Rattus norvegicus: one gene and its partners. Each later gene encodes a partner of the first gene's protein in a complex. Links are inferred from orthologs where the notes say so. Each region holds a gene or a part of one and is shown in the gene's direction. Other genes may lie near its edges. The genes, in order: Cnot1, Cnot2, Ddx6, Zfp36, Nanos1 and Cnot9.

Region 1 (3,500 bases):
GCTTCACACCTTAATCCCATCACTGGGAGGACAGGGGTAAGCAAATCTCTTGAAATCAAGTCAGATTAGGGCTACATAGGGATAGTTTGCTCCACCACCCCCCCCCCACACACACACACACTCCCACCCTCCCAGAAGGAAGACAGACAGACAGACAGACAGTATTTTAGTTATTAAGAGATTACATGTTGTGGTTTTACTGTTTAGGTAGGGATGATTGATGTAACATTAGGTGAACCCCATGCCAGTCTTCCGACTGAGCTCTGAAAGTAAAGTGTCAGTCACTGTTGTTGGTTCTGCTTAAATTTGCTTGCAGTTATAGTTCTTCTGTTTTATATTAAGAGTCTTACTGATATACAAAACACAGTGTAGTATGTTTATGCTGAGGTTCAATCAAATGTAGCTTGACATAAATTTAGAAATTTTTAAAGGGTTTAAGGAATTTTATTTACAGATATCTGAGACTGCTTTTTTCCCCCAAAGATTTACTTACTTAATGTGTGTGAGTACACATTTGTTGTCTTCAGACACACCAGGGCATCAGATCCATTACAGATGATTGTGAGCCGCCATATGGAAGAGCAGTCAGTGCTCTTAACCGCTGGGCCATTTCTCCAGCTCACCCTGAGACTGCACTGGCCTTTTTCTTTTCTTTTCTTTTCTTTTCTTTTTGCAGGCTAGTTTAAAGGACTTTAACATACTAGTTTATCTTTATTGGTCTTCAGTATCCTCTTAAGTATTGCCCATGTCAGGGAAGGATTAATAGAAAACTAAAATTATTCTTACCCTTTCATAAAACAGAATTCTTGATTTCTATTAAGATGCCTTTGTATGTTTCCCTCTGTGCCCATGTAGTACATCGAATATGGACAACAGTCTCGAGATCCTCCTGTGAAAATGCAGGGCTCTATCACTACCCCTGGAAGTATTGCACTGGCTCAGGCCCAGGCCCAGGCCCAGGTTCCAGCAAAAGCCCCTCTTGCGGGTCAGGTTAACACAATGGTGACCACCTCAACAACCACCACTGTTGCTAAAACGGTTACAGTCACCAAGCCAACAGGAGTCAGCTTTAAGAAAGATGTGCCAGTAAGTAGCAGGTCCTTTTGCTTTCCCAGGATCTGTTGGTGTGAATAGGTAGTAGGGAATTTGTGTGTTATTTTACTGGAAGCATAAAGGTCAGCATTGTCCCAGAGAGCACTATGTAATGTAATAATTCAGGGATGGATTTAATGATCTTACCAGTGTAGTTATATACCCTGTTCATTTTTCATGCTAATGGAATCTCTGTAATCTTTTTTAAATGTTTTATTACCTTTCTATCTTGTTTATTTTGTGTGCATGTGTCCTATGATGCGTATCTGGAGGTCAGAGGTCTTAGGAGTTAGTCCTCTCCTTCTGGCATCTGGGTGCCAGGAATTGAACACAAGCTGGGCTTGGAGTCCAGTGCTCTCCTCTTCTGAGCACTTGCAGCACTTCTGTCTTCTAGGATTTCCCAGTCACACCTCAGCTGCTCTAACAGTGCATTATTACTTCCAGCCTTCCATAAACACAACGAATATCGATACACTGCTTGTGGCCACAGATCAAACTGAGAGGATTGTGGAGCCCCCAGAGAATATTCAAGAGAAAATTGCTTTTATTTTCAACAATCTCTCACAGTCAAATATGACACAAAAGGTAAGCATGATGTAATAGCTTATGAAATGCTCTCTTCTTTTCCTTGATGGATGGAGGGATTGGTTTTTGTTTTGTTTTGAATTCAGTTAAGTCAGTTGGTTTGTTCTGTCTATAGTCCAAGCTCCTGAGGAGGCTGAAGTAAGCATAAGGAGCTGGTGGCTTTTCTATCACGTAGCTATCACTGCAGAGCCTGTCTAGAAACTAAAGCCAATAAACTCAGGTTAAAAGGTATGATTTTAGCTGGGTGTGGTGGCACATGACTTTAAAAACATTTTTTAAGGTTTTTTTTTTTTTTTTGTAGGAATTAAACAGTATCCTTTGTTGTAGTATTGTTTTGCAGTGACTTGTAACCTTTTGAAATAATGTCATGCTCTCCTGAGAAGGGAAGTGTTATTTTTTTCCTTCCTTCCTTTCTTTGAAACAAGGTCTCATTAACTAGCCTTGGCCAACCTGGAACTCACTATGTTAACTTGGATGGCCTCTAGATTCTGTCTGCCTCCCAAGTGCTGGGATTTAAAGGTATGCACCACCATGCCTAACTTTGGTAGAAAGTTTTGTTTATGTTCTTCCAGAATCTACTATAATTGCTTATTAGGCCCTGTGAGCACATGAAGTAGAGGTTTAGAAAGCATAAGGAATGATGCTTCCCTGCTAAGGTACTGCTTTGACATGACAGTGGGTTTCAGGCTGAGCTTGCTGACACAGGGAAATAGAGGCAAGAGGATTTCTGTGAGTTTGAGGCTAGCCTGGTCTATATTGTGAGTTCCAAGCCACCTAGGGCTACATAGACAAACCCTGCCTCAAACAAAAAAAAGGTAAGTAGGTTTGATCTGTAACGTTAACCTGCTGGGCTTTGGTGTAAGTTTGTAATAGCAGCACTTGTGAGGCTGAGGGAAAGTTTTGAAGAGTTTGGGCGAGGTCAGCCTGTGCTATTGCATAGGAAACCTTGCCTTTAAAAGAAGAGCCCACACCCACTGTTAAATCTGACGGTTGTTTGTTGTTGAAGTGTCATGGGAAAGGCCAAGCCTAACAGTTTAATACCATGTTTTGTAAGAAGCCAGATGCTGTGTGCTATGAGAACCCAGACCTCATTTTATCTGTTGTTTACATTTTTTTTTAATACTAATTCTCTACTACTTTGTCGTGTTTATTGGCTAGGTTGAAGAGCTTAAAGAAACTGTGAAGGAAGAATTTATGCCTTGGGTTTCCCAGTATCTAGTTATGAAAAGAGTCAGTATTGAGCCAAACTTTCATAGCTTGTATTCAAACTTTCTTGATACATTGAAGAATCCTGAATTTAACAAGATGGTTCTGAATGAAACCTACAGAAACATTAAAGTAAGAGTTCTTATATTTCCTTTAGTAATTAGCTTTAAAGTTGATCTTGTAGGAAGATTTGATGTTTCTCTTTATGTCTATGTTCGATGTGTCCATGAAAAGTGCCTTAGATTTTTGTTTGCAATGTTAACTACTGGGTTCCATAAACATTTTAAAATTATATTTGTGTGAGTGTCTGCACACTCATACATGTGTGTGCGCTCAGAGGACAGTTTTTTAAAGTCACTTTTCAATCTTCATGTATAGCTTCAGAGTTTTACTGTTACATATAACAATGTTCAGTATTTTTGTGGCATGCCATCTTGTTGACTTGTCATGTCTGTGTGCGTGTATGCGTGGGTATGTCCAGGTGCAATAAGTTCTCGGGTCTCTATCCTGGTTTTTTTGTTTGTTTGTTTGTTTGTTTGTTGTTTTTTTTTTAAGGGTCTTACAGAAAACTCAGGTCTCTATCCTGGTTTTTAAGAAAATGGTCTTACAGAAAACTC
Region 2 (4,300 bases), on another chromosome or scaffold:
AATGTTAGGTCATTCATTGAATGCTTTCCTAGCATTCCAGTTCCACATATTAATTTGCTCCACACATTAATTAAGAAAATGTTATCTCACCTAGTAAAACCCAATCATAGTAAAACTCAGACCTTCTCCACTGAAAGCAATTTTTAAAACTTGGACAAAAATGTGTTAAGTTAATATAGGTAAGAAGAGTAATGAATTCAAATATTTAATGTTATTTAATGTGATAATGCTACTATATACACATAAAGGGCTCCAAATAATTAGTAGCCAGATTAAGGTGCTCTGTATTACATGCATTCATACACAAGAACTGTACGTGCCTAGAGGTATACTCAGTCTTTGAACACACTACCTTACAGCAGTAGATGTTAACTTGAGAGGAAGAGAAAGCAGAAGAGATAGGAAAGCACTCTTGGGGGAGGGGCCATATAGGACTGTGTAGTTCCTTCTTGAATTTCCCTGAAGTAAAACCAAAACAAAACACAAAAGGGTAAAATGGAGTATTTAATGAAAAACCCAGCAAAATAAACCTTTTCTATTTGGCTATACCAGTTCCTGTTGATATTTAAACAAATTTACATATCTACTGTTATGCATATTTGCTGATAAACCAAAATACCTTCAAAACCTTGACAAAAGTACTTTTAATTTCATCTTGGGTTTTATCTTCCTTTTTCTGGCCTTCAACTATGATAAACCGAAGTGATATATATTGGTTGATTGGGGTGGGGGATGGGGCTGGAAGAAGGTAATTTTAAAAAAATAAAACAGCAGAAATTTTATTTACTTCAAATTAGTAGTAATCCACATTAATAAGTTCTACCACTCAAACAGGAATAGCAATGCGTTATGAAACTAGTAACTTCAAAACACACAGAGGCTTTTTTCGCAAGTTTAGTAACCATAAAACACGAAGTTTATGGATGTTCAAAGGAGTAAAGTAAGAGTATTACAGCAATGAAAACGAATTTTACTTTCAGGGATTGCACTGTTTTGGAGAACAAAACCCTGGAAGTTCCCACCACAGCCACCGTATTTTCAAAAGGTTTAGTGGATGAGCCAGCTGATCACTAAGGTTTACAAAGGGCGCGCCGGGCGGGAACTAAGTAAAATGCCATAAACATCGGACGGTTAGATTAAGCCCTCCCCGTGGTGCTTTAAAAACACGTTCCCCTTACTTCCTCTCACCAGGTTTGAACCGAAAAAACATATGAAAAGGAAGAGGGGGGGCGGCGATCAGACGCCCAGGTTCCAGCGGAGGGGAACTCACTGCTCAGGGGGGTGCCGGCGGCGTGCGGCGGGTGTTTGGGGGTGCGCACCCGGGAAGCGCAGGCTGCGGAACGACGATTGGACCTGAGTACCGCTGCCACTGCGCCGGCAGGTAGTAGTAGCACTAGCCCGGGGACAGACTGCAGGAGGTGCTCGGGGGCGGGGTGTCCGACGAAAACACAAACACAAACACGCTGTGCGTCCCCAGGTGGGCGGACCCACGCTGCCTCAGCATTTCCCCGCCCCCGCCCCCGAGGCCGCTCTCGGACCCCAGGCCGCAGCTCCTGGTGTGGCGGTCTGGCTTGGGAAGCCCGGCGAGGCCTCGGAGGCCCCACTTTCCGTAATCGCCACAAGGCAGCGCCGCACCTCCGCGGGAGGTGGCGGGACGCCTGGCGGAAGCCCGGGAAGGCTCCTGAGGAGCGCCGTGCTTCTCACCGTCGACCGGCGTTCGGGAAACACTCTGTCCTTGAGGCGAGCATCGCTCGCCACCTTCTGCCGCCGCCTTAGAGCGAAGTCGGAGCGACGGGGGTCACGGCGGGGGTCAGAGGGTAAAGGTCTTGCTCCCAGCAGCCTCCGCGGTGGATACGTCGCCATCTTGGATCCGCGGGACAAGAAAATTCATGCGGTGAGTTTTTGGCAAATTTTCGGAAGTCTGGCAGCGGGGCGCGCGGCGGGGGAGGCGGATTGAGGGCCCCCTCAAGGCGGGGGAATGCCTCGGGGCTGGTCCGGTCGCGCCCGGGGTCCGCGGGTAGCGTCCCGGCCCGCCGCTTCCCGTTGCTTTTGTCTCGGCTCCAATCGAGAGAGGGAGAGCGGAGCGGGCGGGGAGGGGGGTGGCGGCGCTGGAGGAGGGAGGGGGTGTGTGGCGGGGTGGACAAGACGTAAAGCGTCGCCGTGCTCGGGCCGCCGCCGCCGCCGCCGCCGCCGCCGCAGCCGCTGCAGCTCCGGAGCCTAGGCCCGGTCCTGGCTGCCCGCGACGGGGCTTTCCCGGTACTCCGCTTCCCCGGCTCCCGCCGGCGCGGAGCAGCCACTGCCGCCGTGCTGCTTCCTGGGGTAGGAGAGAAGGCGGCAGCGGCAGCGGCAGCATCCGAGGAGCCCCGGCCGCTTTAGACGGCTCTGCCACGTTCCCAGCAGCTGCTGGTCCTTGAATCTTCCCATTCTGGCAATACACGCGCATCCTCCGCCACTTGTGTGTTTTTGTTTGTGTAAGATGGGGACATCGCACTGGCTAACGGGCCTCAGGAGCCTCCAGGCCCTGAGATACCGAAGGGCCTTGCAAGGTAGAGGGAGGAGAGCAACTTAAGATGCTGCTTCTGCCACCGTACCCGGAGAGGGAAGCTTCTCTTGTGGTGTAGACTTGAGTTCGGATGGTCCTGGGGCAGCGGAGGAGGAACCGGAGACACTCTGAAGTTGCAAGCCCTGGTTTCTACTTCCGCCGGGCCCTCTCTACCTTTTGCTGTTTTAGGTCTTCACTTCAAAGTTTCATAGAAGAAATAAGTTGGGTTAAAAGAAACCCGATAGTTCTTAATTGAGGTACTGTTTGCTTAGGAGAAAGCTTAGAATCCTTGTTATCTGTAGGCCCTTAGGGGAATCTAATTGTACTTTTCTTTTCGTAAAATTATTTCTAAGGTTTTGTTTTTTGCATTTACTTTAGACCCCATTAGTATGTTATTACTTCCAAAAATATCTTACACACTTTCTTGGAAATCCTAGGGGACATCTCCACTTTTCAGCATCTGGAAAAACAAGTGTTAAGAGTGTTTTGCTTCATTTTCATTAAATTCTTAGCCAAGAATTTCTCTTTAATCATCTGGACAGTTCCTAATAAAATATAGCAATATGATCCTTAGATTCTTGGCGAATGGTAGAAAGTATGATACTGAGTTAACCAAATCTGTTCACAAGGGAGACATTTGATGTTCAAAAACACATTTTTCTATTATTCTCCATAGTGAGAAATTTTAAGGAGATGGAATTGTGTTCTTATAGATTTCCCTTTCCAAACAAATAAGTGAGGGTAATTTATATGGAGCGAGTGGGATAGAAATTTAAACTTTCACAACAGTTTATGTTTGGAAATGCTTGGCATATTCAACACAGTTCCTTCTCAAAAGTCACCTTTGTAGTTTTATAAGGTATTTTATTCCAAGTTGGAAGTGTTGTTTAAAAATCCAGTACACTGAAATGACTGTCTACATTCACATATTGTCTGTGTTGAGGTTTTGTGTCTTTGATATGTTTTCTTAATGATCCAAGATCATTAACAAGGATCCTTATGCTCTCCTATCTAGTCTGTTGTTATCTTAAAGCTAAAGGAAAAGTTCAAAATGCACAATTTCTTTTACTTTTCACTTTTACTGACTTTGCAGGATCCTTATTTTTAAAATGGAACCTTTTCATTTTTTAAAAAGTGACTTTTTTCTAAGTATTTTATAACTCTAGACCAGAAATAAAAACTGTATTTAGCTTTTTTTTCTTTGCATTCCTGTTAATGCTTTACTAATATACAGAAGTTAAGGTAGTGCATGTGTTGACAGAGCACTTGGGTTCTAAGATACAGTCTAGAGATATCTGTAACCCTACCAGATGCTAGAGGCTGAGAGTCATCTGCACATCAGTAAATGCAGCCTTTGGAAAATTCTGTTTCTAAAGTGCTTTAAAATAAATTTGTTTGGTGGAAAATGAAGCAGATTGATGTCTGTGAGTGGTTTTTATCCCAGCCATCTGAGAACTCTTTGATTTGAAAATGAAATCAAGCTCCAAATGATATGCTCCCTAAAATAATAATCACCTTTATTTTCCCTATATAAAGGTGGGTGCTTTTTGGTTTTTCAGAGATGCCTTAGATTTATTAAAACTTCAAAAATAAATATTTTATACTGCTGGTAAATTAGAAATACCAGTAATCCTTCTCTGCTCATTTCTTTTCTTTTTTTTTTTTTTTCCCCCCGGAGCTGGGGACTGAACCCAGGGCCTTGCGCTTGCTAGGCAAGCTCTCTACCATTGAGCTTAATCCCCAACCCTTGCTCATTTC
Region 3 (3,500 bases), on another chromosome or scaffold:
ATTTACTATGTGGCCATTTTCTATTTCTAACAAAAATGTCTTTGTTTGAGGACTGTTTAACCCTTTGAGATTCTTTTCTCTAGTACATGCACTTTTATTTATTTGAGGCAGGGTCTTTTCTCTAGTAGTCCTGGCTACCAAGACCAGGCTGGCCTTGAACTCTAATTTACCTGGTTAAAGATGTGTATCACCACACCAACACCCAGCTCACTAACTTTTCTGTTACGCTGCTATTCAGCTAATGTTTTTCTGTTAACAGTTTTAACAAACTTTTAGTTCAAAATGGTATTAATGCTTACTGGTCCTGCTAATCCACTTGGGTCTTTGCCATTCATGCAAGATACATACATACTACACTTCAAAGGAGTACCAAGGTGGGTGGTATTCTTCGGTGTAACTTGGAAAAGAATCTGGTAACATTGTATTTACATGTAGTTTTGCATCACCTTGTCTTTTAGGAGGAGAGCATTCCCATTGCTTTATCTGGTAGGGATATCTTAGCTAGAGCAAAAAATGGAACAGGCAAAAGCGGTGCCTACCTCATCCCCTTACTTGAACGGCTGGACCTGAAGAAGGACAATATTCAAGGTTAGCTGAATAGAGGGGAGGGGCTGCAGGGAAGACTGTCTGTACTTGGAGCTTTGTAGGTTTTAATCTTGGTCAGAATTCATTTAATCTACTGTCTTCTTGCTATATTTGGCTTAATTGTTTAAAAAATTTTTCCCCAGCTTTTAAAGGGAATTTCTCAACTTCAGAGTACTTTTTTTTTATGATTGATAAAACAGTTGAAAAAGGGTTCGTGTGAGATAAGCAAAGTAAGCTTTCTTTAAAGCCAAACTGATGAGAGGCTAAATGAGTCACTGCTTACCTCCAGCCTATGCACCTGAATTCCCTTGTGGGAACTGTGTAAGCAGAGCTCTTTGTAGAAACAGTAAATGCTTCTGTCTGTAAACCCTTGAGTTTATCAAATTTTAAGAGCTCAGAGTTCCTCCTCTGTGTAGTAAATGTCTTGGTCAGCCGAGCCTACCAGGAGAACTCCAGAGGCAGAGTAAATCAGGACTATGGGGAAGCGGCCTGTCACTGGCAAGGGCCTGGCCCCCATGTAAGCCACAGCTAGAGTTGGGGGAAAAATTAACAGCTTAGAGAGTAGAAAAGAAGCAAAGTTCTATAGTTGTATCTGGAGTCAGTTCATACAATTAAGGTTTTGCCTCTAAAGTTTTTCTTAAATTTTCCAGTTTTCCATTTATAAATCTCTCTCCTCTCATTGATGAGCATAGAACCTAAGCAGCACGCGTTGACTGCTTAGTATTTAGTGACTCTGAGAGAGTAGTGACCCTTCTGTCAAGCACATGCATCCTTTAAGACTGGTGTGTTATGTCTGTTATGCCCGTGTGTTAGGTGAACTGCCTCAGTGAAACTGTTTTTATAGCTTCTTGAACTTCTAAAAGATAGCATGTTCTCTCTTCCCTCACTCCTTTGTTCTTTGATATTTTTTAGCAATGGTGATTGTTCCCACTAGAGAACTTGCTCTACAGGTCAGTCAAATTTGCATCCAGGTCAGCAAACACATGGGAGGGGCCAAAGTGATGGCGACCACTGGAGGAACCAATTTACGGGATGACATAATGAGGCTTGACGATACAGGTAGGAGATTATTAAGGCCACAAGGCTGTCTGATTGTAGCTACAGATGCCTCCTTATTTCTTTTTCAGACTTATTTGTAATTATGTAGAGGTGGGGTATGTGGTTATGCACACCTGTGTGCAAGTGCCTGGGTGAGGGTGTGGATCCCCTGAGGCTAGAGTTATAGGCAGCTGTGCACCACAACGTAGGTGCTGGGGATTGAACTTGAATTCTCTGCAGGAGCAGCACGAGATGAGCTCTTTTTTTTTTTTTTTTTCCGGAGCTGGGGACCTAACCCAGGGCCTTGCGCTTCCTAGGTAAGCGCTCTACCACTGAGCTAAATCCCCAGCCCCTACGAGATGAGCTCTTAACCATTAAGTCTTTTCTCCAGTCTCCAAGGGTTCCCTTTTAGGAAATAATTAAAACTTTGGTCTGTTTTGTTTGTTTTGTTTTTTGAGACTGGGTTTCTCTGAGTAGCCCTGGCTGTCTTAGAATTTGCTTTGTGAACCAGGCTGGCTTTGGGAACCTGCCTCTGCCTCCCAAGTGCTGGGATAAAAAGCATGTGCTACCACTGTCTGGCACTAAAATATGGTTTTGTTTTGTTTTTTGTTTTTAAAGATGTATTTATTTATTATATATAAATACACTGTAGCTGTCTTCAGACACACCAGAAGAGGGCATCCAATCTCATTACAGATGGTTATGAGCCACCATGTGGTTGCTGGGGATTGAACTCAGGACCTCTGGAAGAACAGTCAGTGCCCTTAACCACTGAGCCATCTCTCCAGCCCCTGAGCTCTATTTTTTAACTTGCACAATTTTGTTTTTAGTGATCAGTCTTTTTTTCCCCCTTAAAACAGTCTGTGGGGTTGGGGATTTAGCTCAGTGGTAGAGCGCTTGCTAGGCCTGGGTTGGGTCCCCAGCTCTGAAAAAAAAGAAAAAAACCAGTCTGAGCAGCCTGGCCCAGATTGAACACACGTCTCCCCTGCGTTCTGGCTGTTACTTCTTGCAGATGGCTGTAAGATGGGAGTTGTGAGTCCCTCAGTTGGAGTTTGTGGTTTGGGAAGCTGGCCCACTCACTGAAGAGACGAGACAAGTATTGTGGAGCTCTTGTGAGAAGAGACAGAAATACACGGCCCACAGTTCATCTTTGTGCCTTTTTGTATTAATTTGGGTCTCTATAAACAGTATTTATGATACTAAATACGTCTTATAAAATTAATGTGTTTCTTTATCCTAGATTAAATTAACAAGAATGTATATGTTTTCTGAAGTTTTTTTTTCTCTGGGAATCTTTTTAGTGCATGTGGTGATTGCTACCCCTGGCAGAATCCTGGATCTTATCAAGAAAGGAGTAGCAAAGGTTGATCATGTCCAGATGATAGTATTGGATGAGGTAATGTTTGTTCATTTGAAAGGACTCTTCAGTACTCCTCTAGCTTTGCTTATAATTTTCACTGAATAAAGCAAACCTTGAACTGGATATGTATGATAACAAATAACCAAGCCAAGCTCAGTTTAAATCTTTCTACTTAGTGTTACATTTTAAAAGCTTGTAAGGGATCTCTCTTAACCCTTTGTTTTGCATTTGCTTCCTAATATTGGTTGGTTCTTTGTGTTTTTTATGAAATTTGTTACTTCTTTAGTTTATAACCTAGTATCAATGCCTTTTAAAAAATTACTGATCTGAAGCCAAATGTTTTACCTGGGATGTAGAGTCAGATGTCTGTCTTGAGTTTGAGAGCTGCAAGTTTCAGGCCAATCAGAACTACACAGTGAGACTCTGCCTTAAAAATGAACAAAAACTACTCATGTGTGTCTGGGATGTAGCAGTGCTGTGTACAGTTAGCCTGGCAGCATTGGTGCTTCGGTGTGCG
Region 4 (4,207 bases), on another chromosome or scaffold:
CAGTGAGAAGCCTGGCAGAATCTCCCTATCTCGATACAAGTGCGCAACGCACCGTGCTAGAACTTCCCGGCATTGTAATTACACTCCTGGCAATGATAACCCCCATACACAAGAACAGTTTTTCACTGGAGATATCTTTGAAATAACACTTTTTACTTGGGTGTGGCAGCTATTTCTGTAATCCTAACACTACTTGGGTGGTGGAGACTGGAGGATCGCGAGTTCCAGGCCTGCTAAGGAGACCCGACCTAAAAACAAAACCCTTACAGACCTCGAGAGAGTTTAAAGTTTGCTTAAAGACTGCTTGCACTACAAGAAACCCATTCAACGTTGAAGGTGGCCCATATTTTTAATAGAGGCGAGCTTCCTCCCTAATAAAAGACTCAAGCTGTTACAGCCTTGAGCTTCGGAAGCAAAACCTCTTAATTTAAAGTGCAGCTTGGGTAAATGGGCTCTGTCCAGCCTTGCTAGACTTGGAAGGGCGCTGCTGAGCGAAGTAAAGTTCTGAGCGGTCCCTACCTGAGCCAACTGTCTTACAGGTTCTGTGCCTTCAGGTTTTAGTTTTTATTTCAACTTCCCTTTTCATCCTTCTGTAACCGGCTTCCTCACTGAGATTTGTGTCCCAGGCCCCTCTCCCTATTGTCTCCCCACTCCGTATAGGTCAGAACCAGGATCACAACCATATGCCAGTCTTTTGTTTCATGTGTATTCCTGGCTGTCCTGGAACTCGCTCTGTAAACCAGGCTGGCCTCGAACTCACAGAGATCCCTCTGCTTCTTCCTCCCAAGTGCTGAGATTAAAAGTTTGAGCCAACATCTGGGGCCTTTTTACTTTTTAAGACAAGAGTCTCACTAAGTTACCTAGGCTGCCCTAGAACCCACAATACAGTCGAGCCAGGCCTTGAAGTCCCAGACTCCTGCCTCAGCCTCCCCAAGTGACTGGAATCACAATCCCAAACCAGCGGGTCCAGTGTGAATGTCTCTCACTGTCTCTTTGTTTTTCTCTCAGCTTCTGGCCATCTCTGTCTCTACCAGCTTGTTTCTCCCCGCCCCCGTCTGTCTCACACGCACACGCCCTCTCAGTCTCTGCCCTTGTCAATTGTCCCTAGAGCCCTGCCCCCACTTCTGCCCCAGTTCTCTTCCCGACTACCTTCAACCTCTGAAAACTAGTCAGACGCCCCACTCCCATCACCACCAAATCTGTGGTACACAGCCCTCCCCACTAACCTCGTGGGAGAGGGCTGTGGGAGAGCCAAGTTCAGGCACATTGTGCATGCTAACCAGCAGATGGGCGGAAGGGGCCTAGTACCAGGCCGGCCGGGCTACGCCGCGGGGGCGCGTCCGGGAAGCTCTCGTGGCCACGCCCCCGGGCCGCCCCATAAAAGGCGAAAGCTCCTGCGGCGGTCCCACAGCCTGACTTCTGCGAACCGACTGTCGGTCTCTTCTCCATGGCCATTCGCGCCACCATGGATCTCTCTGCCATCTACGAGGTGAGTACTGGTTAGACAGCACTCTCGGATCCTCGACGCACCAAACTTAGGCCCCGGACGCCTCCATTCCTTCTCAGACTAGCCCTAACTGGCTGGAAGTGAGAGAGGGAGCCCGTGAGCCCGGCGCCTCGGTCTAGATACCGGCGATCCCCTGGGGACGGAAAGCTGGCGCACTGCTGTCACTCGCGCAGGGCGGAAGCGGCCCCACACCTGTCTAGTACCCTTCGCTGTCCATGGCGCGGTTTGGCGGCCAGGCAGGTGTTGAAGTTGAGCGGGGAGTTGACCCGGTCAGAGTCCTAGAGAGATCTGGCCTCCTGGGTCAGCTTTGGCCGGCTTCTCTAAGTTGTGAAACGAGCGCCCGATGGGCGGTCTTATCCGGGGAGGTCTAAAGGCCCAAAATTGGCGAGCAGCCGTGGTGCTTTGATTTGGGGGTACCCTCTCTCGATCCATCGGGGATACTGGGCTCCCTAGATCCTTCTGGATTAGCTTCAGTCATTTGTTAACACCCAAACCTCTGTAGTCAGGTTCTCCCTGAAATTTGTGAGCCGGGTGGGGCTCAGGCTGAGAACCCACAAACCGGAATGACAAGCTCGTGAAGTGCTTTACCACAGGGGCGGGGCGTCGTCACCTTACCTTTTCTGGTGGCCTAACCGAACCCTATTCTCCTTAGAGCCTTATGTCGATGAGCCATGACCTGTCACCCGACCACGGAGGAACTGAGTCCTCCGGAGGACTTTGGAACATAAACTCATCGGACTCCATCCCATCTGGGGTCACCTCTCGCCTGACTGGCCGCTCCACTAGCCTGGTGGAGGGCCGAAGCTGCAGCTGGGTACCCCCACCCCCTGGTTTCGCACCCTTGGCTCCCCGCCCGGGCCCTGAGCTGTCACCCTCACCTACTTCGCCTACTGCAACTCCCACCACCTCCTCTCGATACAAGACTGAGCTCTGTCGGACCTACTCAGAGAGCGGGCGTTGTCGCTATGGGGCCAAGTGCCAGTTTGCCCACGGCCCGGGTGAACTGCGCCAAGCCAATCGCCACCCCAAGTACAAAACGGAACTCTGCCACAAGTTCTACCTCCAGGGCCGCTGCCCCTACGGCTCTCGATGCCACTTCATCCACAACCCTACCGAGGACCTGGCTCTCCCTGGCCAGCCCCATGTGCTCCGACAAAGCATCAGCTTCTCAGGCTTGCCTTCAGGCCGCAGAACCTCACCACCACCTCCAGGCTTCTCTGGCCCTTCCCTGTCCTCTTGCTCCTTTTCGCCTTCCAGCTCCCCACCACCGCCTGGGGACCTTCCACTTTCCCCTTCTGCCTTCTCTGCTGCCCCTGGGACCCCTGTGTCTCGAAGAGACCCTACCCCAGCCTGTTGTCCCTCCTGCCGAAGGTCTACTACCCCTAGCACCATCTGGGGGCCCTTGGGTGGTCTGGCTCGGAGCCCATCTGCACACTCTCTGGGATCCGACCCTGATGATTACGCCAGCAGCGGCAGCAGCCTGGGTGGGTCAGACTCGCCTGTCTTTGAGGCCGGGGTGTTTGGGCCTCCTCAGCCCCCTGCACCCCCAAGGCGTCTTCCCATCTTCAATCGCATCTCTGTCTCTGAGTGACAAGTGCCTGCCCAGTGTGGATCAGCTAGATCTCAAAGAAGAGGGAGGGAACTGCTCGTTGCTGTGGGGACCTGGGGGGACTCCTCTAAGTCCCTCCTCCTGGACATTCCAAGTTGCATTAACCCATTCCCCTGGTGCTGGGCTAGGGCAGGTCCCTAGTTTGCAAATTCAGTGTTTGGGTGGATCCGTTCCTAGGGTACCTGAGATGTAGCATGTTTGAGGGGTACAGTTGACAGTTGATCTTCCAGGTCTCAAGTCTTATGTTGTTTCTGAGATAGGGGATTATTACGGTACCCCAGGCTGGCTTTGAACTCAATATAATCCTGCCTTAGCCTTTTCCAAGTTCTGGGGTTACAGGTATGCACCAGCCCCTCGGAAACTCTGGTCTCCTGGAATCTTAAGTGCTGTGAAGAGCCGGCTCCCACAATACTATCCTAATTTTTACTAGACCCCGAAGTTCAGTGTCCGGTGGTTGTAGCCTCTCCTGAGAATCCTGGTGCTCAAATTTCCCTCCCAAAGCAAATAGCCAAAGCCATTGCCAAATCCCTTTTCCCCCACGCCCCTGCCCCAACCAATGGACCCTTTATTTATGACGACTTTATTTATTGTAATAAGATTTTATAGTATTTATATATATTGGGTCGTCTACTCCGTTTTTCTTTTTGTAATGTTAAAACTGATACTGTATTAAGTATATACTATAATATATTAAGTAATATATTGTTACCGTACAAGTCTATTTTTGTGGGTTTTTTTGGAATTTTTAAATAAAATCTTGAGTGTGAACTGTGATGAAATTTGTTTTTTTCCGTGGTCCACAGCCTTGTGATGGTGGGTAAACTGACCTCCAGACCTTCCTGTGAGCACTGCTGCCGGGGGGGGGGGGGGGGGGGGGGGGCGCTTACCTGGCAGGAAGTGACGTTAGCCCGGTTGTTCACCTGAGGAGGCGTGGCGGGATGAGGTCACCCAAAAGGAACAAGGAGAGCTAGTTCTCTTGGCTAAGGGGTGCTCCAGGCCTGTCCCTCCGGCTCTTGACCCAGCTCGGGCAGGGACAGGATGTTTCCGTCCCCACAGGGCCAAGGAAGGAGGGAGGGGTGGGGCGGGGCGGC
Region 5 (4,207 bases), on another chromosome or scaffold:
ACTGCTGATATCCCAAAGATTGAAATCACCCCCAAAGAATTACTTCTGAACAGGCCCATGACCCTCTTTGTCCTATTAACCTTTCTTCCTCCCTTACCTTTGGTCGGCTATAAGGGAGCTTGATGTGTTAAAGGACCCTTATTAAAAGTAGGTTTGTGCGGCTGGAGAGATGGCTCAGTGGTTAAGAGCACTGACTGCTCTTCCCAAGGTCCTGAGTTCAAATCCCAGCAACCACATGGTGGCTCACAACCATCTGTAATGGGATCTGATGCCCTCTATATAATAAATAAATAAATCTTAAAAAAAAAGTATGTTTGTAAAAAAAATCTAAGCCAAAACATGTGAATGTGGTTTACCACCTAAGGAAAGCTGATAGCATCAGAGGTCCTATCACCTTGTGCAAAATCAGCTCTCTCCTCTGCCGAGCAAACAAAGAGAAGGCATTTTCTGTTCCTCATTCTAGGTCACATTCCTGAAGAGCCCTCAGCGCCTTTTCCTAGTTTCAAATTGCTTTTTGAGGTTGTTGGTGCTTATCATTTAAGTTGCCTCTTTTCTAGAAAGGACAAGACTACCTCTTAATCTCCTAATAAGTCCTTTATTTTCCAGGGTTTTACCAAAAAGAGAAAATTTTACCTGTTTCAAAGCACTGAATATGCTGTTTTTCAAGTTCCACAGACACTGGATTTCCATATAAGCACCCGGAAGAGGAATTTCACACAAACTGACACATAGTAAGAATTTCTGGTCCAAGTTGTCACCTCTACGGCCCCAGTTTCTGAACACCTACCTGTTGGACTTGCTGTGATCCTCCACTATTCGCTACCATATAAACAATAAAAATCATGAGCTTCCTCCCTGAGCCTCAAGGTTTATAGGAGGACTTCACCCTGTGGAAAGAGCGCCAGAGCGCTATGCCAACTGAAGTCACTGGGTCTCTAGCTGGGCTAGCGTTGGGAATTAGCGCCTAGCCTTGCCTCTCACAGCTTTTCTTGCTGATGATGATAAAAAGCAAGGGGAACGTGGTGGCTTCAGACCATAAACCCGGTCCAGCCAAAGCTGCAAGTGGATGCACGCATCCCAGTGGCCTCATCGCGATCTGTGCCATCCGCATCCTCAATATCCCGCAGGAAAACAAAAACAAAAACAAAAACAAACAAACAAGCTGGGTCACCAGTTGAGGTCTCCACGCTCGTGCAAAATCAAGCACCAGCCACCGCCTCATCCAGCCCCTTTCTGCACAGCCATCCCCTCCCCGCAAGCACCGCCCGCCCCTTCCCGGATAGCCACCAATCAGCGTCCCGACCGGCGCCCGCGGAGTCAGGTCGGTAGCCATTGAGCGCCAGGGCCCGAGGCGGCGCCTCACCCGCCCCCTCGCAGGATGCCAGGCGCCCCGCAGCTGGTGAGGTGGGCGCAGCGCGCGGGGCGCAGGAAGCGCGCGGGGCTGGAGAAGAGCGCGCGCCCGCCTCCGCTCCGCCTCCGTCCGGGGGCGCGGGCGCAGTGGCCCGGGCGGAGGATCGCAGGGGGCAGGGCCGAGACAGCGAGGAGGGGCACGGGAGAAAGCGGGAGCGATAAAAGGAAGCAAGGGTGCCCCACCCCGCGGCAGGCCGGCGGGCAGGCTCCTGCGTCCCTTCCGTCCGGCCCTTGCCGGCGGCGGCGGGGAGGCGCGCGGCCCGCTGCCGGCCCATGGAGGCTTTCCCTTGGGCGCCACGCTCGCCCCGCCGCGCCCGCGCCCCCGCGCCTATGGCGCTCGTGCCCAGCGCCCGCTACGTGAGCGCCTCGGGCCCGGTGCACCCGCAGCCCTTCAGCTACTGGAACGACTACCTGGGGCTAGCCACGCTCATCACCAGGGCTAGCGACCGCGGCTCCCCGCACGAGGGGCCCGGGCCCACGCCGGCCGGGCCCACACTGGGGCCGCCGGAGGACGATGAAGACGACGACGGCGATGAGCCAGAGGCCGGGGGCCGCTACCTGGGCGGCGCGTTGGAACTGCGCGCGCTAGAGCTGTGCGCCGGCCCAGCCGAGGCCGGGCTGCTGGAGGAGCGCTTCGCTGAGCTGAACCCATTTGCAGGGCGCGCCGCCGCGGTGCTGCTGGGCTGCGCGCCCTCTGCCTCCGCCGCCTCCACGGCCGAAGTGACGCCGCGCGAAGAGCCGAGCCCTGCGTGGGCAGCCGAGCCTCGTCTGCACGCGACCTCCGGGGCGACCGCCGCGCGTCTGCTGAAACCGGAGCTTCAGGTGTGTGTGTTCTGCCGGAACAACAAGGAGGCGGTGGCGCTCTACACCACACACATCCTTAAGGGCCCGGACGGCCGGGTGCTGTGCCCGGTCCTGCGCCGCTACACGTGCCCCCTGTGCGGCGCCAGTGGCGACAACGCACACACCATCAAGTATTGCCCACTCTCCAAAGTGCCACCGCCCACCGTCCGCCCGCCGCCGCGCAGCACCAGAGACAACCTGCCAAGCAAGAAGCTGCGCTAGAAGCAGGCTGCATCGAGCTGCGTACACCTGAAACCTGGACTCTTCTCCCGTGGCTCAACTTGGGAAGTCCTCTTGGTTTTATGGAAGCCGCAGGGGCATAGCACTTTCTTGTGGAGTGATAGGTCTCTGACGTTGAAATATTGGATTTTGTCCCTAGTTTCTAAAACGCGCATCCAGAGTGGTGAGGGCTGAGCGGTTGTTCCACTGGCTGAAGTGCGGTGAATGAGGCGCTGTTTACTGTATACGTCAGCCTATTTTAGGTGCGCATCCGTATGAATTGTCTCTGATCTTGGATGTTTTCGTTTTATGAATGGAGGCACTTTATTAGGTCTAGAGTATTTTTAATAGCCTCTGAACTGAGTGTAAAACAATTGTATGGAATGTCGGCAAAATGACTATTTTATTGTTTGATGCAATTAATTTATTTTAGTTTCTCATTCTAATTGCAGGTAAAGCAACTTAGTACACTTCCCAATATTGAGAGGATGTTCCTCCTCGTGGCTTGTTTCTGTCCTAGATGGGAGGCTTAAAGGCACAATCTGTAGCAGGTAGAATACAGTTCCTTATCATTTTATGTATCAGCTATTCTACTGAATTAGCAAGTAGTCCTTCCAACCCTTAAAATTAACTGTGCCAAGGCTTAATCATATCGTGTACATATTTGGAAATGGTGCTGTTTAAGAGACGTGTATTTATACAGTGACAGTATTATGAATCCATTAATCTCCCCTGTAACTCCTACTTAGCATTTTCTCTATGCACCACCCCAAAGGTCCAATTCTGATGCTAAGGCGTGCCCTCCTCAGAAAGGAGGAAACCTTTTAGAGCAGTGTTAACCCACCTTGATTGCTCAAGTTCAGGGTTCCTAAATAGAAAATGGGGAACTATAATGCAATAACTCGAGTTCTAGAAAGTTCTACTCTGGGCTGTTTGCCTTCCAATTTACAGAGGGTGTACCAGAATAAATACTTCGATGCTGTAACAATTGCAGTTGGATACAAGTATCATAATCTCCCCTCTTGGTGGTTCCACTATTACTGAGAGATCCTAGTCTGCTTCCAGAATACTAAAAGATCTTCATGCAAAAGTTCCTAACCCTTTGTTCTCCTGTAAATCTATCATCCTGAGTGCTGGGATGTGGCACAAAGCCACTTACCATCTAGACAGAAAAGGTGAGGGTGAGTTAACATAAATTCAGACATGCACCAACACCACTCTCTGCAAATACCAGTCAAAAGATTAAAGCTTGCAATAGTCAAATTTAGCTAGGAATACAAGTCAGGCTAGACTGCCTTTCATATTAAGCAGCAACTTCACAGCAAACTTACTTTCTGTATAAAAGAAGTCATGTGAAAATACTACCTACTGGTAAAAGGGAGGACATTCTTAGCAAGGAAGAAATCTATCCCTGTTATAGCCCCACAGTCAATGGGCCTGGGCCTAAATTTAATAAAACCATGTTCCTTGTTTTGCTAGAAAATATACAGTTTGTTTTGGGGTGAAGTTTTTCAAGTCAACATAAATTCACATCCTCTAACTGATCTGCCTGTTCAAAAAGGTATTCTCGATATCAAAAGCAGTAGGTATCAAGCCAGGATTGCTGTAATCCCACCAGATGTTTCCCAAGGTGTGTGTGTGTGTGTGTGTGGTGCCAGTATATAAGTACATGAGCTGAACAACTATCATGTGTACCTAATAGCAACTTTGAATTTTTGGCATTTTGCCGGAACTA
Region 6 (3,500 bases), on another chromosome or scaffold:
TAATGGTCAAACAGGTTGAGTCACTTCGCATCAAATATATGTGTTTAATGAGGCTCCTATAATTTACAAATATACATGTTTATAAAGCACTACTAAAGGATAAGACTTGATTAAGTTGTACTAAGTTGACATTTGTTTTCTTGTTTTCCCCTAAAGCCTGTGCCTACTGCACTGGCCCAGGTGGACAGAGAGAAGATCTATCAGTGGATCAATGAACTGTCCAGTCCTGAAACAAGGGAAAATGCTTTGCTGGAGCTGAGCAAGAAGCGAGAGTCTGTCCCTGACCTTGCGCCCATGCTGTGGCATTCATTCGGTACTATTGCAGCACTTTTACAGGTGGGTCTGTAGCCACAGTAGGAATTCAGTCATGTCTGCCACACTGGGTTTTTTTTTTTTTTTTTTTTTTTTTTTTTTTTTTTTTTTTTTTTTTTTTGGTTCTTTTTTTCGGAGCTGGGGACCGAACCCAGGACCTTGTGCTTCCTAGGTAAGCGCTCTACCACTGAGCTAAATCCCCAGCCCCCCACTGGGGTTTTTCTATTCTTGTGCTCAAATGATTTTTGAAGACTTGAGAATGGTTGTTTGAATATTAACATTTGTAGGATCCTATTTTTAAGAAGTCAGAGGTATTTGTTAAATGCATTTGGGGGTTCTCCCTAGGAGATTGAATTTAGTTGATCTGAGAGGCAGACCTTAAATGTGTGTTTAACAGGTGAAATCTAAGAGCTACATTGAGAAATGGCTTTTAGAAATACATTGGGGTAGATCTGTTATAGCTGGGAAGGATATAGAAATAGTATGAGAACCGTAGATAATGGTCTAAGGGAGAAAATTGTTGAGATTAAGGTGTGGTAGCTATAGGATTAAAGATGTGTTTGTGTGTGCATTAAAGAATAAATAGATGCATCTGGTAAGGTGGTTCATTTACCTGCTGCCAAGCCAGACAATTTGAGTTTAATCTCTGGGTACAAGGAGAGATATGAATCTAAAGTTTCTCCTCAAATTATTAATAATCTTTCAAGTTTGTTTGGTAAATTCATATTGCTATTCCTAACACATGTAGCCAAGAATCTATTAGTGTTATGAAAGGATTTGCAGCTAAAATAAACAGAACTATATTCAACATGGGTCTCATTATAAAGTAGAATGCAAGGGGGGTGGATGGGGAGGGGAATACCCTTATAGAAGAAGGGGAAAGGGAGGGGACTGGGGGCTTATCCAGGAAACCATGAAAGGGAATAACATTTGAAATGTAAATTAAAAAATATCCAATAAAAGAAAGCTTTTGAATAGGAAAAAAAATGAAGTAGAATGCAACTTCTTAAAATTACAAAAATAAGGGTCCCTCAATTGGCTATAGGTTCTGGAGAGATGGTTCAATGCAATGGTAAAAAACACTGGCTACTCTTCCACAAGTCCTGGACTTTGATTCCCAGCGCCTACATTGTGGTTTACAACCAACTTTAACTCTAGTTCCTAGGAATCTGATACCCTCTCTCTGGTCACAGACACACATGCAGGCAAAACACCAACATACATGAAGACTAACTGCAAAGTGTAGGGGGAGTATGGGAGACCCAGTATTCCTAGAGACACATAGGAAAAGGTCTTGCCTATTTAGTTTAGCACGCTCGTAATGGAAAAATAATTTCATTTCTGCAGGAATTAAAGATACTTTGCTGTGACACTGGTAATTTGTGATTAATTGCTGTCTGGGATTCTTTGCATTTTTCAGGAAATTGTAAATATTTATCCATCTATCAACCCTCCAACCTTGACAGCACACCAATCTAACAGGGTTTGCAATGCTCTAGCATTGCTACAGTGTGTGGCCTCACACCCAGAGACCAGGTAAATGCTTTGTGAGCGTGTTGGTAAATTAATGGGGGTGGGTGAGTATTTTATAGGAACTTATATATCTTTGCTAAATGATCAGAGAAAGAAGACACAATGTAATGTATGGATTTCAGTCTTCAGAACTTTTTTTTTTTTTTTTTTTTTTTTACTCATTCATGGCAATGACTTTTTTTACAGTTTTTAGTGTGTTGGATATTTTTAATATACTTTCTATATGTCTCTTGGCTTTTTTTGTTTGTAATGTTTTATCAGTTGGCTTTGGAGTTGGTAGGTATTAGTGGGGAAGGTTGCTTGATTTCTTTTGTTTTCTTTTTCTTTTTGGGGGGGGGGGGTGTTTGAGACAGGGTTCTCTGTGAAGCCCTGGCTGTCATGTATCTTACTCTGTAGACCAGGCTGGCTTTGAACTCACAGAGATACTCCTGCCGCTGCTGCGGCCCCACCCCCTACCCCAACACTGTCTTTGGCCTTAAACTGTTAATCCTTCCACCTCTGTCTCCTGCCTGCTGGGATTATAGGCATGTACCACCATGCATACCCACCTTTTTCTTGTTTTTCTGACTGTTGACATTAAGTCTGATAGCTGTTTTTAGTTTCTGGTTACAGATTTGAATTAAATATGACATGTTTTAAAATGAAGCAAAATACAATTCCATACCTTTAACAACATAGAACAGTTTGCTAATTTAGTGATTTGCTATGTTCTGAGAGGAAAGATTTTGCTTAACTACCTTAAAGAATATTTTCTGTCAGTGATTTAACCCCAAATATAAAACTAGAGCTTTAATCCTCCCATGGTTGTCTATCTTTTTTTTTTTTTTTTTTTTTGGTTCTTTTTTTTCGGAGCTGGGGACCGAACCCAGGGCCTTGCGCTTCCTAGCCCATGGTTCTCTATACTTAGAATTCCAGTGCTCAGGAGGCTAAGATGGGAGGCCCTGTCCCAAAAAAACAAAATTAAGTGATTATTTTATGTTTACTTAAATCAGTCATCTTATGGCAGCAAAGTTTTAAAGAACAAAGGTTATATCACAGGAAAGATAATATATGATAGGTACATGGGCACTTCTCTTTTCTAAATCATGGTAGGCACTGGGTCACAATTGTTTCATGGTACATATAATAGGAACTCGGTAAATATTTTTAAGCACTCTTTCTCACAAAATTCACATTTGTGAAAATTTTTTCTAAAGCTTTTTTGTTTATGTTTGTTTGAAACAAGGTGTCACTATATAGCTCTGGCTGTCTGGGGACCCTAGCTTGTCTCAAATTCACTAATATCCACCCGCCTGTGCTTCCCCAGAGCTGGGATTAAAGGTGTGTACCATTACACCTTTCTTAAGTCCTTCTTAGTTTAGAATTCCAGGCAGCCTCTGTGATATAAATGGGAATTGACATGCAAGGTAAAACTTTTTTGCTATATTGTCATATGTGAAAAGGTAGAGAAAATCCTGTTTAAGAATCTGCTTTGAGACCAATGAGATGGGTCATCGAGTAAAGAAGCTTGCCTCTAGGGCTGGAGAGATGGCTCAGCGGTTAAGAGCACCCGACTGCTCTTCCAGAGGTCATGAGTTCAATTCCCAGGGACCACATGGTGGCTCACAACCATCTGTAAAGAGATCCGATGCCCTCTTCTGGTGTATCTGAAGACA

Evidence for each region.
Region 2: the proteins of Cnot1 (region 1) and Cnot2 are in contact, whole or in part, in a crystal structure (PDB 5FU7), measured with the Homo sapiens proteins. The link is inferred for Rattus norvegicus from reciprocal best matches to the Homo sapiens genes CNOT1 and CNOT2. Residues at the interface, in NP_057368.3 of Homo sapiens: His1864, Ser1865, Ala1866, Ala1867, Arg1870, Asp1871, Gln1917, Pro1921, Ala1923, Pro1925, Ala2003, Tyr2036, Leu2039, Glu2040, Ser2043, Arg2045, Ile2048, Ala2049, Ala2053, His2054, Leu2079, Leu2084, Lys2086, Gln2089, Ile2090, Leu2091, Tyr2092, Lys2093, Gly2094, Leu2096; in NP_001186231.1 of Homo sapiens: Met350, Val351, Asp353, Gln354, Phe355, Gly356, Met357, Ile358, Gly359, Leu360, Leu361, Phe363, Ile364, Arg365, Gly372, Met373, Val374, Leu376, Ala377, Leu378, Gly379, Ser380, Asp381, Leu382, Leu385, Leu387, Asn388, Leu389, Ser391, Glu393.
Region 3: the proteins of Cnot1 (region 1) and Ddx6 are in contact, whole or in part, in a crystal structure (PDB 4CRW), measured with the Homo sapiens proteins. The link is inferred for Rattus norvegicus from reciprocal best matches to the Homo sapiens genes CNOT1 and DDX6. Residues at the interface, in NP_057368.3 of Homo sapiens: Glu1097, Ala1100, Phe1101, Phe1103, Asn1104, Asn1105, Leu1106, Ser1107, Ser1109, Asn1110, Lys1114, Lys1137, Arg1138, Ile1141, Glu1142, Asn1144, Phe1145, Leu1148, Tyr1149; in NP_001244120.1 of Homo sapiens: Phe329, Ser330, Arg331, Leu332, Gln333, Ile334, Asn335, Gln336, Leu357, Gly358, Tyr359, Ser360, Leu384, Arg386, Asn387, Ala402.
Region 4: the proteins of Cnot1 (region 1) and Zfp36 are in contact, whole or in part, in a crystal structure (PDB 4J8S), measured with the Homo sapiens proteins. The link is inferred for Rattus norvegicus from reciprocal best matches to the Homo sapiens genes CNOT1 and ZFP36. Residues at the interface, in NP_057368.3 of Homo sapiens: Gln821, Glu835, Asp845, Ala848, Asn849, Phe852, Gln853, Tyr856, Asn894, Glu897, Glu898, Phe901, Gln904, Tyr905, Pro906, Glu909; in NP_003398.3 of Homo sapiens: Arg314, Arg315, Leu316, Pro317, Ile318, Phe319, Arg321, Ile322, Ser323, Val324, Ser325.
Region 5: the proteins of Cnot1 (region 1) and Nanos1 are in contact, whole or in part, in a crystal structure (PDB 4CQO), measured with the Homo sapiens proteins. The link is inferred for Rattus norvegicus from reciprocal best matches to the Homo sapiens genes CNOT1 and NANOS1. Residues at the interface, in NP_057368.3 of Homo sapiens: Ile2327, Ile2330, Lys2331, Trp2338, Glu2350, Phe2353, Gln2354, Val2356, Ala2357, Met2361; in NP_955631.1 of Homo sapiens: Phe40, Ser41, Ser42, Trp43, Tyr46, Leu47, Leu49, Thr51.
Region 6: the proteins of Cnot1 (region 1) and Cnot9 are in contact, whole or in part, in a crystal structure (PDB 4CRU), measured with the Homo sapiens proteins. The link is inferred for Rattus norvegicus from reciprocal best matches to the Homo sapiens genes CNOT1 and CNOT9. Residues at the interface, in NP_057368.3 of Homo sapiens: Ile1415, Ala1416, Thr1418, Thr1419, Gln1422, Ile1423, Lys1426, Asp1427, Phe1428, Met1444, Asn1447, Leu1448, Gly1451, Met1452, Met1454, Ile1455, Arg1458, Glu1459, Tyr1548, Gln1549, Arg1552, Met1553, Pro1554, Gln1556, Ile1557, Leu1559, Val1564, Lys1567, Gln1568, Leu1569; in NP_005435.1 of Homo sapiens: Arg19, Glu20, Tyr23, Ile26, Asn27, Ser30, Ser31, Pro32, Arg35, Pro54, Met55, Trp57, His58, Ser59, Phe60, Gly61, Ile63, Ala64, Ala65, Leu67, Gln68, Val71, Asn72, Tyr74, Pro75, Ser76, Ile77, Asn78, Pro79, Thr81.

Annotation. Positions count from the first base shown.
Region 1 is NC_086037.1:9,316,794-9,320,293, forward strand, and holds part of Cnot1 (CCR4-NOT transcription complex subunit 1), read left to right. Parts: intron 1-855; coding exon 856-1,086; intron 1,087-1,536; coding exon 1,537-1,677; intron 1,678-2,835; coding exon 2,836-3,015; intron 3,016-3,500.
Region 2 is NC_086025.1:54,105,161-54,109,460, reverse strand, and holds the start of Cnot2 (CCR4-NOT transcription complex subunit 2), read left to right. Parts: upstream 1-1,500; 5' UTR 1,501-1,889; coding exon of another isoform or gene 1,890-1,894; intron 1,895-2,148; exon of another isoform or gene 2,149-2,799; intron 2,800-4,300. UniProt on the Homo sapiens protein: Component of the CCR4-NOT complex which is one of the major cellular mRNA deadenylases and is linked to various cellular processes including bulk mRNA degradation, miRNA-mediated repression, translational repression during translational initiation and general transcription regulation.
Region 3 is NC_086026.1:53,845,749-53,849,248, forward strand, and holds part of Ddx6 (probable ATP-dependent RNA helicase DDX6), read left to right. Parts: intron 1-458; coding exon 459-588; intron 589-1,497; coding exon 1,498-1,644; intron 1,645-2,924; coding exon 2,925-3,019; intron 3,020-3,500.
Region 4 is NC_086019.1:92,796,309-92,800,515, reverse strand, and holds Zfp36 (mRNA decay activator protein ZFP36), read left to right. Parts: upstream 1-1,407; 5' UTR 1,408-1,447; coding exon 1,448-1,489; intron 1,490-2,159; coding exon 2,160-3,098; 3' UTR 3,099-3,888; downstream 3,889-4,207. UniProt on the Homo sapiens protein: Zinc-finger RNA-binding protein that destabilizes several cytoplasmic AU-rich element (ARE)-containing mRNA transcripts by promoting their poly(A) tail removal or deadenylation, and hence provide a mechanism for attenuating protein synthesis.
Region 5 is NC_086019.1:269,882,306-269,886,512, forward strand, and holds the start of Nanos1 (nanos homolog 1), read left to right. Parts: upstream 1-1,407; 5' UTR 1,408-1,683; coding exon 1,684-2,475; 3' UTR 2,476-4,207. UniProt on the Homo sapiens protein: May act as a translational repressor which regulates translation of specific mRNAs by forming a complex with PUM2 that associates with the 3'-UTR of mRNA targets. Capable of interfering with the proadhesive and anti-invasive functions of E-cadherin.
Region 6 is NC_086027.1:83,543,369-83,546,868, forward strand, and holds part of Cnot9 (CCR4-NOT transcription complex subunit 9), read left to right. Parts: intron 1-156; coding exon 157-336; intron 337-1,732; coding exon 1,733-1,848; intron 1,849-3,500. UniProt on the Homo sapiens protein: Component of the CCR4-NOT complex which is one of the major cellular mRNA deadenylases and is linked to various cellular processes including bulk mRNA degradation, miRNA-mediated repression, translational repression during translational initiation and general transcription regulation.